3 linked regions of the Oryza sativa Japonica Group genome follow. The protein of the gene in region 1 binds, or shares a complex with, the protein of each later gene. Links are inferred from orthologs where the notes say so. Each region holds a gene or a part of one and is shown in the gene's direction. Other genes may lie near its edges. The genes, in order: protein TIC110, chloroplastic; protein TIC 20-v, chloroplastic; protein TIC 22, chloroplastic.

The links.
Region 2: protein TIC110, chloroplastic (region 1) and protein TIC 20-v, chloroplastic share a complex: the UniProt entries of both Arabidopsis thaliana proteins name them as parts of the tic complex. The link is inferred for Oryza sativa Japonica Group from reciprocal best matches to the Arabidopsis thaliana genes TIC110 and Tic20-V.
Region 3: protein TIC110, chloroplastic (region 1) and protein TIC 22, chloroplastic share a complex: the UniProt entries of both Arabidopsis thaliana proteins name them as parts of the tic complex. The link is inferred for Oryza sativa Japonica Group from reciprocal best matches to the Arabidopsis thaliana genes TIC110 and Tic22-IV.

The regions. Positions count from the first base shown.
Region 1 is NC_089044.1:19,363,499-19,367,820, reverse strand, and holds the start of protein TIC110, chloroplastic, read left to right. Parts: upstream 1-1,028; 5' UTR 1,029-1,232; coding exon 1,233-1,756; intron 1,757-2,300; coding exon 2,301-2,360; intron 2,361-3,555; coding exon 3,556-3,679; intron 3,680-3,797; coding exon 3,798-3,866; intron 3,867-3,949; coding exon 3,950-4,048; intron 4,049-4,322. UniProt on the Arabidopsis thaliana protein: Involved in protein precursor import into chloroplasts. Forms a voltage-dependent cation-selective channel at the inner envelope of chloroplasts, which specifically responds to a transit peptide.
Region 2 is NC_089036.1:30,721,729-30,725,692, forward strand, and holds protein TIC 20-v, chloroplastic, read left to right. Parts: upstream 1-1,816; 5' UTR 1,817-2,039; coding exon 2,040-2,723; 3' UTR 2,724-3,134; downstream 3,135-3,964. Other genes in the region: rhamnogalacturonan I rhamnosyltransferase 1, read left to right, coding at 1-100; transcription factor BIM2, read right to left, coding at 3,213-3,269, 3,369-3,489, 3,573-3,720, 3,808-3,964. UniProt on the Arabidopsis thaliana protein: May be involved in protein precursor import into chloroplasts. Not redundant with TIC20-I, TIC20-II or TIC20-IV.
Region 3 is NC_089040.1:5,941,618-5,945,939, reverse strand, and holds the start of protein TIC 22, chloroplastic, read left to right. Parts: upstream 1-1,688; 5' UTR 1,689-1,866; coding exon 1,867-2,307; intron 2,308-2,392; coding exon 2,393-2,455; intron 2,456-2,893; coding exon 2,894-2,968; intron 2,969-3,724; coding exon 3,725-3,769; intron 3,770-4,322. Other genes in the region: uncharacterized protein, read left to right, coding at 1-93. UniProt on the Arabidopsis thaliana protein: Involved in protein precursor import into chloroplasts. Imported into the intermembrane space via the Toc translocon. May be involved in the import pathway used by proteins without a cleavable N-terminal pre-sequence.

The DNA.
Region 1 (4,322 bases):
GAGAATGACGTGTAATAAGTAGCCATCATATGAATGATTGCTCATGTACGACATAGGATAAACTCATCTAACATACGTCTAATTGTGATCGAAATAAACCCCATATACAATACGTATTTACCACTATTTATCTCTCCTAGAAATCACCATATTATTCACAGGCCACCATTTATAGATGTGCAAGCTAAACTCTCTCTCACCACCACCACCTCCGTCGTTCCCGCTTGTCCCTCCAGATGCGTTATTGTTTACATATTATTTTTCATCTCGTATGATGAATTTACTTTCACACTATTATATTTTTCTCACCCTTAATGACTTTATTGTAGAGATTGACAGTATGTAACCTTCTGCTCCCCTTTGTTTTCACCGTAGTCTAACAAGCTAGTGCCCAATATTGACAATCATAATTACCTCCTTCTAAGAAGAAGAAGATAATCGCATAAAACAACCATCAATACAATTTTAGAAGTATAAGTAACCGAGTAATCCTGACTAGGAGTTTGGTTTCGTGGTCTTATTGGTGGAAAACATCACACACCTCCTCTCTCTCTCTCTCTCGTATTTCTTTTAGTGTGTCTCACGTGTCTTTTGGGGTGACTCCCATGTATTCACTCTATTTATTCCGTGTAAGTTCATTTGATGTAATATATTTATGTGAGCAATTCATTCCTCGGTGATCCGTCTAAAAAATACTCCCTCCGTTTCAGGTTATAAGACTTTCTAGCATTGCCCACATTCATATAGATGTTAGTGAAACGGAGGAAGTATAACAACTGAATAATTTGGATGGTTCCTATTTATTTTTCGTGGGAGAAACGCATTCCACAATACCAATACCAACAACCAGTATACTTGTGTAGCCCTGTTCATGTGAGATGCAATGCATGCATACAGTATACGATACACCGGACGCCATCACCTGGCGACAACCCGCTCTCCCGGTGCACCGCACGTCTACCGCTGGTCGCAGGCGCCCACCCAACCCCAACCCTTCCCTTTGGTCCAGCCGCCCCTGCCCCGACCTCACCAATCCCCGCCTCGTAACGCTATCCCATCTCCTCCTCCTCCACCTCGCCTCTTCCGCCTCATCCACCACCACCTCCTCCCCCCCACCACCCGTCGCCACCCTTCGCCGCCGCCGCCGACGAGGACCACCACCACCACGACGGTGGAGTAGCCGCCCGCGAACACCGAGGCGGCAGGGGATCCATCATCCCACGACAACGACCATGGAGCTCGCCCTGGCCTCCGCGAAGCCCTCGCCCTCGCCCGCGCCCGCGCCCCTCCTCTTCGCGCCGCTCAAGCCCCTCCCCCTCCTCCGCTTCCCTCCCCGGAGACCCCGCGCCTCCTCTTCCTCCGTGGGGGCGAGGCTCCGCGCTGGGAGGCGCGGGCTGAGGCTGCTGTGCCGCGCGGCGGTGGGGGCGGGGGAGGAGGTGTTCGGGCCGAGGAGGGAGCTGGCGGGGGTGCAGCCGCTGGTGGAGGCGCTGCCGCCCGCGGCGAGGACGGCGGCGGAGCTGGCGGTGGCCGCGGCGGCGGTGGCGGCGGGGTACGGCATCGGGCTCCGCGCGGGTGGGGGGTCGAGGGCCGTGGCGGTCGCGGGCGCCGCGGTGCTCGGGGCGGCCAGCGTCGCCGGGGCCGCCGCGGTGAACTCCGTCGTGCCGGAGGTCGCCGCCGTCGGGCTGCACAACTACGTCGCCGGATGCGACGACCCCACCAAGCTGGAGAGCGGCGAGGTGGAGGCCCTCGCGACCAAGTGAGTCGTCTCGATTGCTCGACTATATTGTAGGTGTGCTGCATTGGCCGTATGGCCCGTATGCTCGATTCGATTATATATCAGATGTCTTGACTCCCACCCTGCAATGTGATCTGTATTTTCCTTCCAATTTATGCGCCCTCCTAGCATTTACTCATTTATTTTTGAAGCTCCCATTTGTTTTCGGAATGCTAGTAAAATTTTGGTGTAGCTTGTTTCAGCGAATAAGGAACCTATAATTATTTCGATAATACATTTGATCGGCTAAAATTACCTTTAGGGATGGGACATATAGTTATATTTTTGCACTAAAATGTTTAAGGAAAAGGCTATACGTACTACATTTTTCTTATTAAACTCTCTTTACACTAATGTGTCATGTTATGAGTTCATCTACATTTCCTATAACTCCTATCTAGTTAAATCAAACAGCTGATATCATTTTGTGTAAGAATTTTTAAGTATGTGCAGCAGTGCTCAATGTAACATTGCCCCCACCCACACACACAGAAGCAAAAAGTCTTACCTGTTTATTTTGTTTCAGATATGGAGTTAGTACACAGGACGCAGCCTTCAAAGCAGAGCTCTGTGATTTGTATGCCAGGTGATCCTCTTGGCACCTGTTGTCCAGTTGTTTCCAATGCTTTATTTGAATGTTGGTAAAGAATGTCCATACGGAAATGGCCTCTAAGCCTAACTGTATTTATGACACTAATTCTGTTGTGTTCTATGTGTTGAATTTGGCTCAAGTGCCCTTATTATAGCTATTGTTTTCTCCTAGACACAAGTATTTGTTCTTGGATGTTTCCCCTCTCTTCTCTTAATATTCACCCGTCCCAAAGTATGGTGTTATTTTGCAGTTTTTAGTTGTCGATATGCAATTTGAGCTTCAACCATTACATCCAGTAATTTATATTATTATATACCTTGAAATATACAAAGAACAGCTAAAATATTACGTAAAATAATATTTACTAATATCATTTTTATTGCCAATCTATCAATGCGGACATCTCGATATATATATATATATATATATATATATATATATATATATATATATATATATATATATATATATATATATATATATATATATATATATATATATATATATATATATATATATATATATATATATATATATATATATATATATATATAGTAAATTTGTTTGGTGCTCCATGGTGCCCGGGCACCATTGTTGAAATTGAGTATATACCCAATTCAAATGAGTATGAAACTTTTTCAATTACTTAGGTATTAACATTAACTACTTTACTAACTAGTTCAAAGCATGTTTGTACTGAATTTGAACTTGTTTTTGTTAGATTTTGATTCTAGGTATATAGCATCCATACATATAATTAGTTAGGTATGTAATCATGGATTGTGAAATAAAGTTAAATTTGAGTTGTTTTGTTGATAGGTATAGATATGAATCGAATTATTATAACTAGGTATATACTCACAATTTGAAAATTTTGAAAAATTTGAGTGATTTTGTACATTAGATACCATGGTGCCCGGGCACCATGGTGCCCCATATGAGTGTCCTATATATAGTATATATATATATTTTGTTCCAATCACATTTCACATACCACAGTTTTGTATGTATGTGCTCAGACGTAGTTGCTTCTTTTGGCAAGCTCTTGTACATTACTCAGTAGCTAAACTAGATTCTTCTAAAATCAATCTTTAAAAATCTACCATTTATTGGTTGCATCTTATTGTTTTGGTCATGCAGTGTATATAGGAAGTGTCTTTGCTCCATCTTACCTCCATTTTATTTCCAGGTTTCTTTACTCAGTACTTCCTCCAGGAGATGAAGATCTCAAAGGTGATGAGGTTCAGACCATTATAAAATTTAAAAATGCTCTTGGGCTCGATGATGTAGATGCTGCAAATATGCACATGGAGGTATTGCCTCATGATCCAAGCCCCTTTATATCTTACTTGCCTGAGACGTTCTTCCTACTTTAGTGCCATTTTCACATTTCCTCCATTACTCCTTATGCCTTCGACTTTGCTTGTATAGATTGGTAGGCGCATATACAGAGAAAGGCTGGAAACAAGGGACCGGGATGCCGACATGGAACAGCGGCGGGTACGTTTTTGTGCTGTGATACATAAATGGATGTTTAAAACTTTCTACTGCCCCTGATGATAACTATTGTAAATATTTTGCAGGCATTTCAAAAACTCATATATGTATCAAATCTTGTCTTTGGGGATGCATCAACATTCCTGCTTCCATGGAAACGTCTTTTTGGGGTCACTGATTCTCAGGTATTTTATTATGAAATAGTCATCACCCATTTAAACTGTGCATAGCATGTCGGCATTTTCTGATTTCACCCCATGGAGAAAGCAGATGGCAACCTTAGACAATATTCTAATTATTTGTGTTGATTTTGAATTTTAGATGCACCACTTCCCTAACATAACATTATTGCAACTGTGACTACGAAGGATCTCTAGTGTGCTGTACAACCTCTTTGCATTGTTTTGTGCAGTTCTAGATGCAATGGTTGGGCTAGTTGGCTTGCCTGTATTTTTACAC
Region 2 (3,964 bases), on another chromosome or scaffold:
AAAAAGGACAGTGATTCATGACAAACCGAAGGAAGAGGACTACTTCTATGCTAACCCTCAAGAGTGCTTGCGAGATCCCAATCTTTTACGGACATCATGATATTTTTAATAGCGCAATTGCGCGAGTATACTTATTACCATTACACGTTTACAGCATAGCTGAACTTGTTTCTTCCGAGCTGACTCAAATGGCTCGGCATTTTCAGTTCAGAACTTCAGGTTGGGCCATTGACAAGGGAGTTTGGATGGAAGCTGAAAGAAAGGATGATACAATTGTGAGCTTGTGACTACTTAACTCAAATGTAGTTGGTACATAGACGTTACATGTTGGGGAATTGGGGATGTTAGGTTTCCTAATTACGCCGATTAAGAGAAGATATTCATGTATAGATGGGGGCGGGTTAGTGGATAAGTTAGTTCAACAGAACGTTACCGATCATGGTTCATGAAGGAAATTGTTATATATCAGGTTTTTCATACTTTGTGCAGACATTACTGCTCTTGCATCTTGAATTTCTCTCCGTCTCCTGAAGTTTTACCATGTAGTACTACCAACTGTTTCAGCAGTCTGAACAGATGCTGCTGGTTGTTGGGTGTATATATGCTCTGATTGTGTATTATAGAACACCAGAATGCACGGTGATGTATCATTTTTTTTACCACGGCTGTGCTGTGGTGGTGTATCGAAGTAATACATGCCTCTACTTGTTAACGTGCGAGTCAGTGCATCTTGTTTTCAGTGGCGATTAAGATAGGATTAGCACTGATCCAAGAGCGACCCAGCAGTTAAGTGGTCTTGTCCTACTCGTTATCGTCTCATCGATCGTTGGAGCACTCAGCTCGAAATGCAGTGAACCACCGCGAGAATAGCCGCTAGAGATGCGCGCGAATCTGGCACGGAGCGCGCGGCCGAGCCGAGCCGAGCCCATCCCACAGTGCACGGGGTTGAGTGCCTCGTCGTCTCCACTTCGTTGCCGATCTCTACTCGTCAACGCGCGCGAGGGACTCGACGTGCAACCGATCCCTAGGCGATCGCTCTGCTAGACTGCTACGTTCGAGCTCGTGCATATGCGCCTGGTTTTGTGCGATGGATTGGAGGATTAACGTTGACGCAAGAGCCATCTTGGGATCGAGTTTAATTTAATTTTACTAGTGCTCCATTCGACGGGAAACGTGCCAGTAGGAGGCAATGGGGATGAGATTGATGAATTTTCATATGGCAGTATGAGGCAATGGTAGATCCGCAAGCTGCATAGCTCGTGTAATTAGTAAACCATGCTGGTAGATTTGTAGTCTGCTTTTGTGCTAGTGAAGCAGTCAGTCAGGTAACTCTCGGGTGTGGAACGGAGGGAAGATTAACGTGCCACGCTGCTGCAGGCTGCAGCTGTTCTCCCCTTTCTTTTACAGGACCATCCAAATCCATTAAACGAAAATCACACATTATTACAGTTCGTACAACGAAAATCACTCCATTTCCTTGTGTGTGTCAGATCGCTGCCAGCCAATTGTCAAGTGCCAACGGCTGAACGACACACTACGGGCATTACGGGCCGCGCGCGCGGAGTTCAGCTTGAGAGGCGTACAACGCCTTAGCCCATTACGAAATCGCGATGCATATGGTACGACGAAAGCCTGGTAGCCCACGCAGGAAAACCGGCAAAACGCGTCTCAGACGAGGCCCAAACAGTACGCCTGATCCTTTCGGCCCAGTGAACAGCACGGCGCCGCAAGCTTTGGCCCATCTAATGCTCTTCCTGCCTGCCGCGGCGCCCTCGCCGTTGCCCTCCCGCACCAGGCACCACCAACCAATCTCCTCGTCTCCCACTCGGCCACATGCCCCACATCCCACCGAAATCTGGAAAAATCTCCACGCTCCCAACCCCGCTTCGCCTTCGCCCCGGTGGCCGCAGCCGCGCGGCGCCACTGCCCCCCAACCAGCCAAACTCCCCCACCTCACGGCACTGCACCCGCAAAAATCTCAGCTCCCACCCGCCGCGCCGCGCCGCGCCGCGCTGCTCCCCCAACCAAATCCCTTCTCCATGGCATCCGCCGTTTCGCTCCTCCTCCTCTCGTCCCCGCGCCCGCTCCGCCGCGCGGCGCCGGTGCCAGCGCTACGCTCCCAGGCGCGCCACCCCTTGCTCCTCGGCCACGCGGGCGAGACCGCGCTCGGGGTATGGGCCACGCGCGCCCGCCTGCCCGCGCCGCCGCCGCGCGCCTCCAACCCGAACAACGACAACGACAACAGCGGCGCCGTGGAGGCGCCCGACCGCCTGGTGGCCGCCGTCGCCTACCTCTACCCGTTCCTCGACGGCGTGCACCACGGCCGCTTCCTCCTCGCGCAGTTCCCGCTCTTCAGCACCCTGCTCAGCCCGCTCGCGCCGGCCGCGCGCCTCTTCCGCTCCTCCCCGCTCACGCCCTTCCTCCTCTTCCTCACCCTCTACTTCGCCGTCGTGCGCAACCAGCAGGCCTTCTCCCGCTTCGTCCGCTTCAACGCCATGCAGGCCGTCGCGCTCGACGTGCTGCTCATCTTCCCCGACCTCCTCGTGCAGTCCTTCGCGCCCTCCACCGGTGGCGGGATCGGCTTCGAGCTCTTCCAGAGTATGGAGAGCACCGTGTTCCTCTTCCTGCTCGTCTGCCTAGTCTACGGCGGGGGCGCGTGCCTGCTAGGGAAGACGCCGCGGCTGCCAATCGTCGCAGATGCAGCCGAGCGCCAGGTGATGTGATGAGCTTTTGTCAAATCTTGCTGGTGAAAAGGAACAAAGGAAAATGATATACACATCCATCTCGATGCCTCATTGATGTTAGTAGATCGCAAATTCACAAGTTCAGTTTAGTACAGTGATTATTTACAGCTGTAGTAACCAATTTAATGAATGGAGTTACGGAAGGTTGGTACAATGGCATTACAAAATTTACAATCAAGTGTATGAACGAATGAGTTGAATTGGGAATTTTTAGAGATAGCAATACATATACTCGCTATAGAATATGGAATTCTGGACTACATTTACAGATGATGAATGAGAAATTGGGGAGTGTCCTCAAGACCTCCCCTGAAGGAGCTTCAATGGTATATGAATGGATGCTTAGGTTAGTTAATTGTTGTTGCAATATAAATAAAATAATTGCATCAATTGGGGATTGTGGTTGCTGCTACCAAGTTATTGTCTGAACTTGATGATGTCTGAATTTTCTAGTTTGGAGAAAAAGTTCTAGCTTTTATTGCACCGCCTCTTGGTTATTTGGATGGGCTCTTCATCTTCATTGATCTGTGATGTGAAGTCAGGACAAAGGTACAAAATAATTATTAAGCAGACGATCTATATGTTCAAACATCATGAATAAATCAACTTTGTAAAGCTCTATACCTTTGAGTTGTCACTAGTATTATCTCTTGCTCGTTTGGCCAGGTTGATCTCTACAGCTATATTAGCTTGAGATGGATCTAGTCCTGACTTTTTAAGAGCTTCTGTCAATCTGTTGAATAATCTGTTGCAAATTGAAGTAGTATCCTGTTAGTTACATATTGTGCTAACTTTAGTCTTGAAGTAACAAATGGTTAAGGAACAGACCCTTGAGAGTAAGCGCTAGAAATACTATGGTTTTCATCGTGAAGGGTCTGTTTCTCATGCTTGTTCGGCATTTTGTTGCCTGGTTCAGACTCTTGGCGCATTGTTGACATGCTCAGCCATGGTGGCTGATTGCTGGGTGTGCTGTTCTCTGCGTTTAAAAGACATTAAAGTTAGTGGATCTAGTTCTTAATTACAAGAATTCTGACTGTTGAAAGGTGATAAGAAATGGACTTACTTTCCAAATTTTGTGGTGTGCCTGTTGCCATGTGGGAGGAACTGGTGGTTGTACTGGTTACACTCTGTGTGTTGAAGAGAGCAGGTTGTGCTGCCGATATGTGCTTGGGACCGTACTGTTCGTTGTTCATGTCCTGTGTGGATGGTGACAAATCTTC
Region 3 (4,322 bases), on another chromosome or scaffold:
GTCGCCGGCGACGACGAGGTCGCCACGCTCTTCGCCTTCGCGCAGAGGCACCTCAACGTCAAGATCGCCGAGCTCGGCGCCTCCTACTACTGAATTAATTAACCTCCCTCTCTCTCATACTGTGATCGACAAGTGTGCGTGATCAGGATCGATGTACGTACGTAACTGTGTGAGATTGCGCGCTGTGCTGTGTATGTTTGTGTTTTTGCACATCTTTTGTGTTGACTTGATTTTGGTCTCGGAGATTCCACTCTCTATTTTTACTCTCGTTTCATCGATCACTGCGGGATTTGGAGAAATTATGTGTGATCTTTGTCGATCTCTTTAGGCCCCAATTTAAACTGACCATCGATAGCTTACTAACAAAGGGGAATTCAATTGGTGTTTGGTAAAGGCTATACTAGTATAGATTTTTAGAGGTTAAAAAAGTAAGATAATATCTAAAACGCAATCGATGATTGAGAAAATGGTTACTTACACTAATCATTAGTTAATAGGGCCAAGATAATTTAGGCACCACAATGGACAATTTAATGATTTGGCACTTTATTAGTCCGCAGTACTTTAATTGTATTGGTATTTATAAGGATGCTATATAATATCATAATGAGTCAATGATAATAATGGCTAAGTATGTTTGCGAAAGCGCATGTAGCATAGTTGTTACAAGAGTCTCAGTAGCACCTTAGGTCCTGGGTTTGACTCCCCATGGAAGCAAACTTTTCAGCATTTAACGGCTTTGTGCTTTCAGTGGTAGGCGACGTACCCGTCGACAACGAGGCGCCCGTGGTGATTTCGTCAATCTCCAGGATGCATTTGCCGGCCCAGTCTTCGAAGATGCTCATAGGGGTAAGGTTTGCGTGCGTGCGTTCATACTCATTTGAACAGTCCTCATATTTGCCTCATCTGTAAAGCTACTTGCTGGATCTGAGGGCTTTCAAGGAGACTGATTAATTTGTTTGGACTGAAAAACAACAACCGTTGGATGGTAGATGGACAGTGCACGCACATGATGTTACGTTGTAGCTCGATCCGATCCACGTCCCGTCCTCTTCCTTTGCACGCTGGCCAGCACATGATGTGTAGAGGTAGAGAGACGGTAGTCACCCACTTACCCTTAGATCTCTGTTTTTCTGAGGGCTTTTCAAGAAGTAGACTGATTAATTTGGGCTTTTTAAGAAGGAGACTGATTAATTTGTTTGGACTGAAGGCAAGAGAAACAACAGCCATTGGATGATAGATGGACAGTGCACGCACCTGACGTTACGTCGTAGCTCGATCCGATCCACGTCCCCTCCTCTTCCTTTGTGCTCCCTCCCCGTGCCGCCTGTGCCTCCACGACGATGAGGTGCCAATGCGGCAAGCAATTGGACCTCCACCTAAGCAAGGCAAGCCGCGCTGGCCAGCACATGATACGTAGAGGTACAGAGACGGTAGTCACCCACTCACCCTTGGATCTCTGTTCTTCCCCAGACAGCGTGCGCGGAGTTGAAAAATTTAGGGGCGAATAATTCCAATTCTATTGGTGATGCTCTTAGAAGCTAATTTCATCCTCCATATTGTAAGTTGTAACTAAACATATTTTCACTGAAAAAAATTGATAATTGAGCTTAACATATTTTCACTGAAAAAAAAAATGATAATGGATTGGCCGAAGCAAAACCCCCCGACCAAACCCAACCAAGGCCACACCAGTTGCAGTGCAGCACGACTCCACGAGGCCAGACGGTGCGGCTCGACCGAATCCGCACGCCGCCCGCGGCCCGCTCCTCGGCGACGCCGAGCAACACGACACCTCCGCGCGCCGCCATCCAAGTCGTCCGTCGCGTCGCGTGCCGAAAACCCAGCAGCAACCAGCCAACCACGATGCCGCCGCCGCCGCCGAACTCCTCCTCCTCCTCCTCCTCCTCCTCCTCCCTCCCGCTCGCCGCCGCCCCGATGTCCAACCCGTCGGCCCCCTCCTCCTCCTCCTCCTCCTCGTCGCTGCCCCCCAACCCCCTCGCCGCGGCCTCCTCCTTCCTCCACCACCACCTCTCCCGCCTCGCGTCCCGCTTCGCCGCGCCGCCGCGCCCAGCCCTCGCTGCTGTGACGGCGTCGGCGGCGCCCCCGGGGCCGCAGGGCGCCTCCGCCTCCCTCTCCCTCGCGCTCGCGCCCGACGAGGTCGCGCGCGCGCTCACCGGCACCCCCGTCTTCACCGTCTGCAACTCCAGCAACGAGTTCGTGCTCGTCTCCGACCCCGCCACCGGCCTCCGCTCCCTCGGCCTCCTCTGCTTCCGCTCCGAGGACGCCGACGCTCTCCTCACCCACGTATCCTCATCTTCCCATCTGTTATGCCTTTTGCTGTTTGATTTGTTCTTTTCGCCCTAATGGTTTGGGAGTTTGTGTGGTTTAGGTGAGGATGCGGCAGCCGGTGGTAGGGAGAGGGGCAAAAGTGGTGCCGATTACGCTTGATCAGGTGGGATTAAATCGATATTTTGTGATCAATTTTGTCATCACTCTTCTAGGACCAACTCTGCATAGGAAGAGTTATGGAGCATTTGGGTTTATGCAAGAGTTAAATAGGGACATACAGTTGTATGATAATTTAGTAACTGAATGACATATTAACGAGTAGCAAAGTGGGACCTGGATTTCTTCCAAGAGCAAATCAAGGAAAGCTGCCGTTTCTTATGTGCTGCCCCTTTTACCTAGCTTAGTCTATCTTTTCTTACAACACCCATGCTTTTCTTGCATATTCATGCTTGAGGGTTCTTGGGCTTAGGCTAGCCTCGTTGCAACTTCACTCGTTTCTACTTCATTCAATACAACTAGTATATTGCTTACATTTAACTATGCTGATTATTTTTTATGTTTTACAATGTAAATATACCTTAAGCCGTCCTTCTAAATGCAGGTTTACATGTTGAAGGCTGAAGGTATTGCATTTCGGTTCTTACCTGACCCTCTTCAAATTAAGAATGCGTTGGAGGTTAGTTCTTCTCTGGATTTGTGGCTCTTTGCTCCATCTTATCTATAAGTGGATATGTTTAGTACGCCCATCTGGCCATCATTCTATCTCACTAGAAAAGTGGAATTCAGTTCCTCAGGTTGACAGCATTACTCCTTAAAAGCATCAATGCAGCCATTGCATCTTCCAAAATTCCAATGGACTCCTTATATACCAATTTTACTCCCATTTAATGTTTTTAACTATTTACCAACAGTCCGAGATCTTTGCAGTTTGGGTATGTGTGTACCTATTTTCTGTATCACCACTCAAGACTTTACACATGGACTTGGTTCCTTGTATATATTATTGGTAGAGAAGTTGTACTGTCACTAATCATTGCCTTCACCAGAATGCACAAATGATATGCATACACTAGACAGATGCACGCAGAACACATGGAGTGCTGTCACATGTCAGCCTATTTCATAAGGAGAAAGTCCCTTCCTTGCAAAAGAAAAAAAAACATATGGGAAGGTGGCATTTTAAAATATAGATAATCTGTATTGTTTTTCCTGTTTCTTGGTGTGGACTGTCCACATTCAGTGGTTAGACTTCAGAGTATATCATGGAATGTACAACTCATGCCTTTTCACTCATGAATCATGAGTATATCAGAGCTGACGTCTTAACAGTGTATAGTATGTAGATTATTGCTATCTTATGCATTGTTTCACTAATGTAAGAATGCTAACAAACTTACTTCAGCCCAGTGACGATTATCCTTCGTTTTTTCAGTTAAAATCTGGCTTAACTGCTTTTGATGGTGTTCCTGTTTTCCAGGTAATACTCATGTCTGTATTATTTACTGAAAAATATACTTTTATGGAAAGCATTGAGACATACCCTTTGCGATTATTAAATGTATTTTAGAATATTAACAATAAATGTATTAAAGTTGATTTGCTGATTAATATCTTGACTCAGTATAAATTACTCGTGAACTTAATATTACCAAAGTGCATGGACTAATAGGTAGGTTCTGAAGCTATCTGCTTGTTCCTGTTAGTTATTAGCCCATGCCTATTTATTAAATGTAAATGCATGAACTGTCCTGTCATAATTTCTCGTTATTTGTCACATGTGTGCATCATTTTGTGAAGCTTTAGCCTTATCTTATTGGCACGACTTGTTGTACTAAAATAGGACTAGAAGATAAACGGATAGTCAAAAATTTTCAATTGAAAGTTTAGGCGTGCAGTAGTCTAAACCTTTTCATGGAATATCAGATCTTCTGATGTTTCGATTGTCATAGAACAAGGGAAGCCCTGATTTTCTTATCAAGGAAAAAACTGAAGTACACAGCTTTAGGTCCATCAACGCAGTTGGTTACATG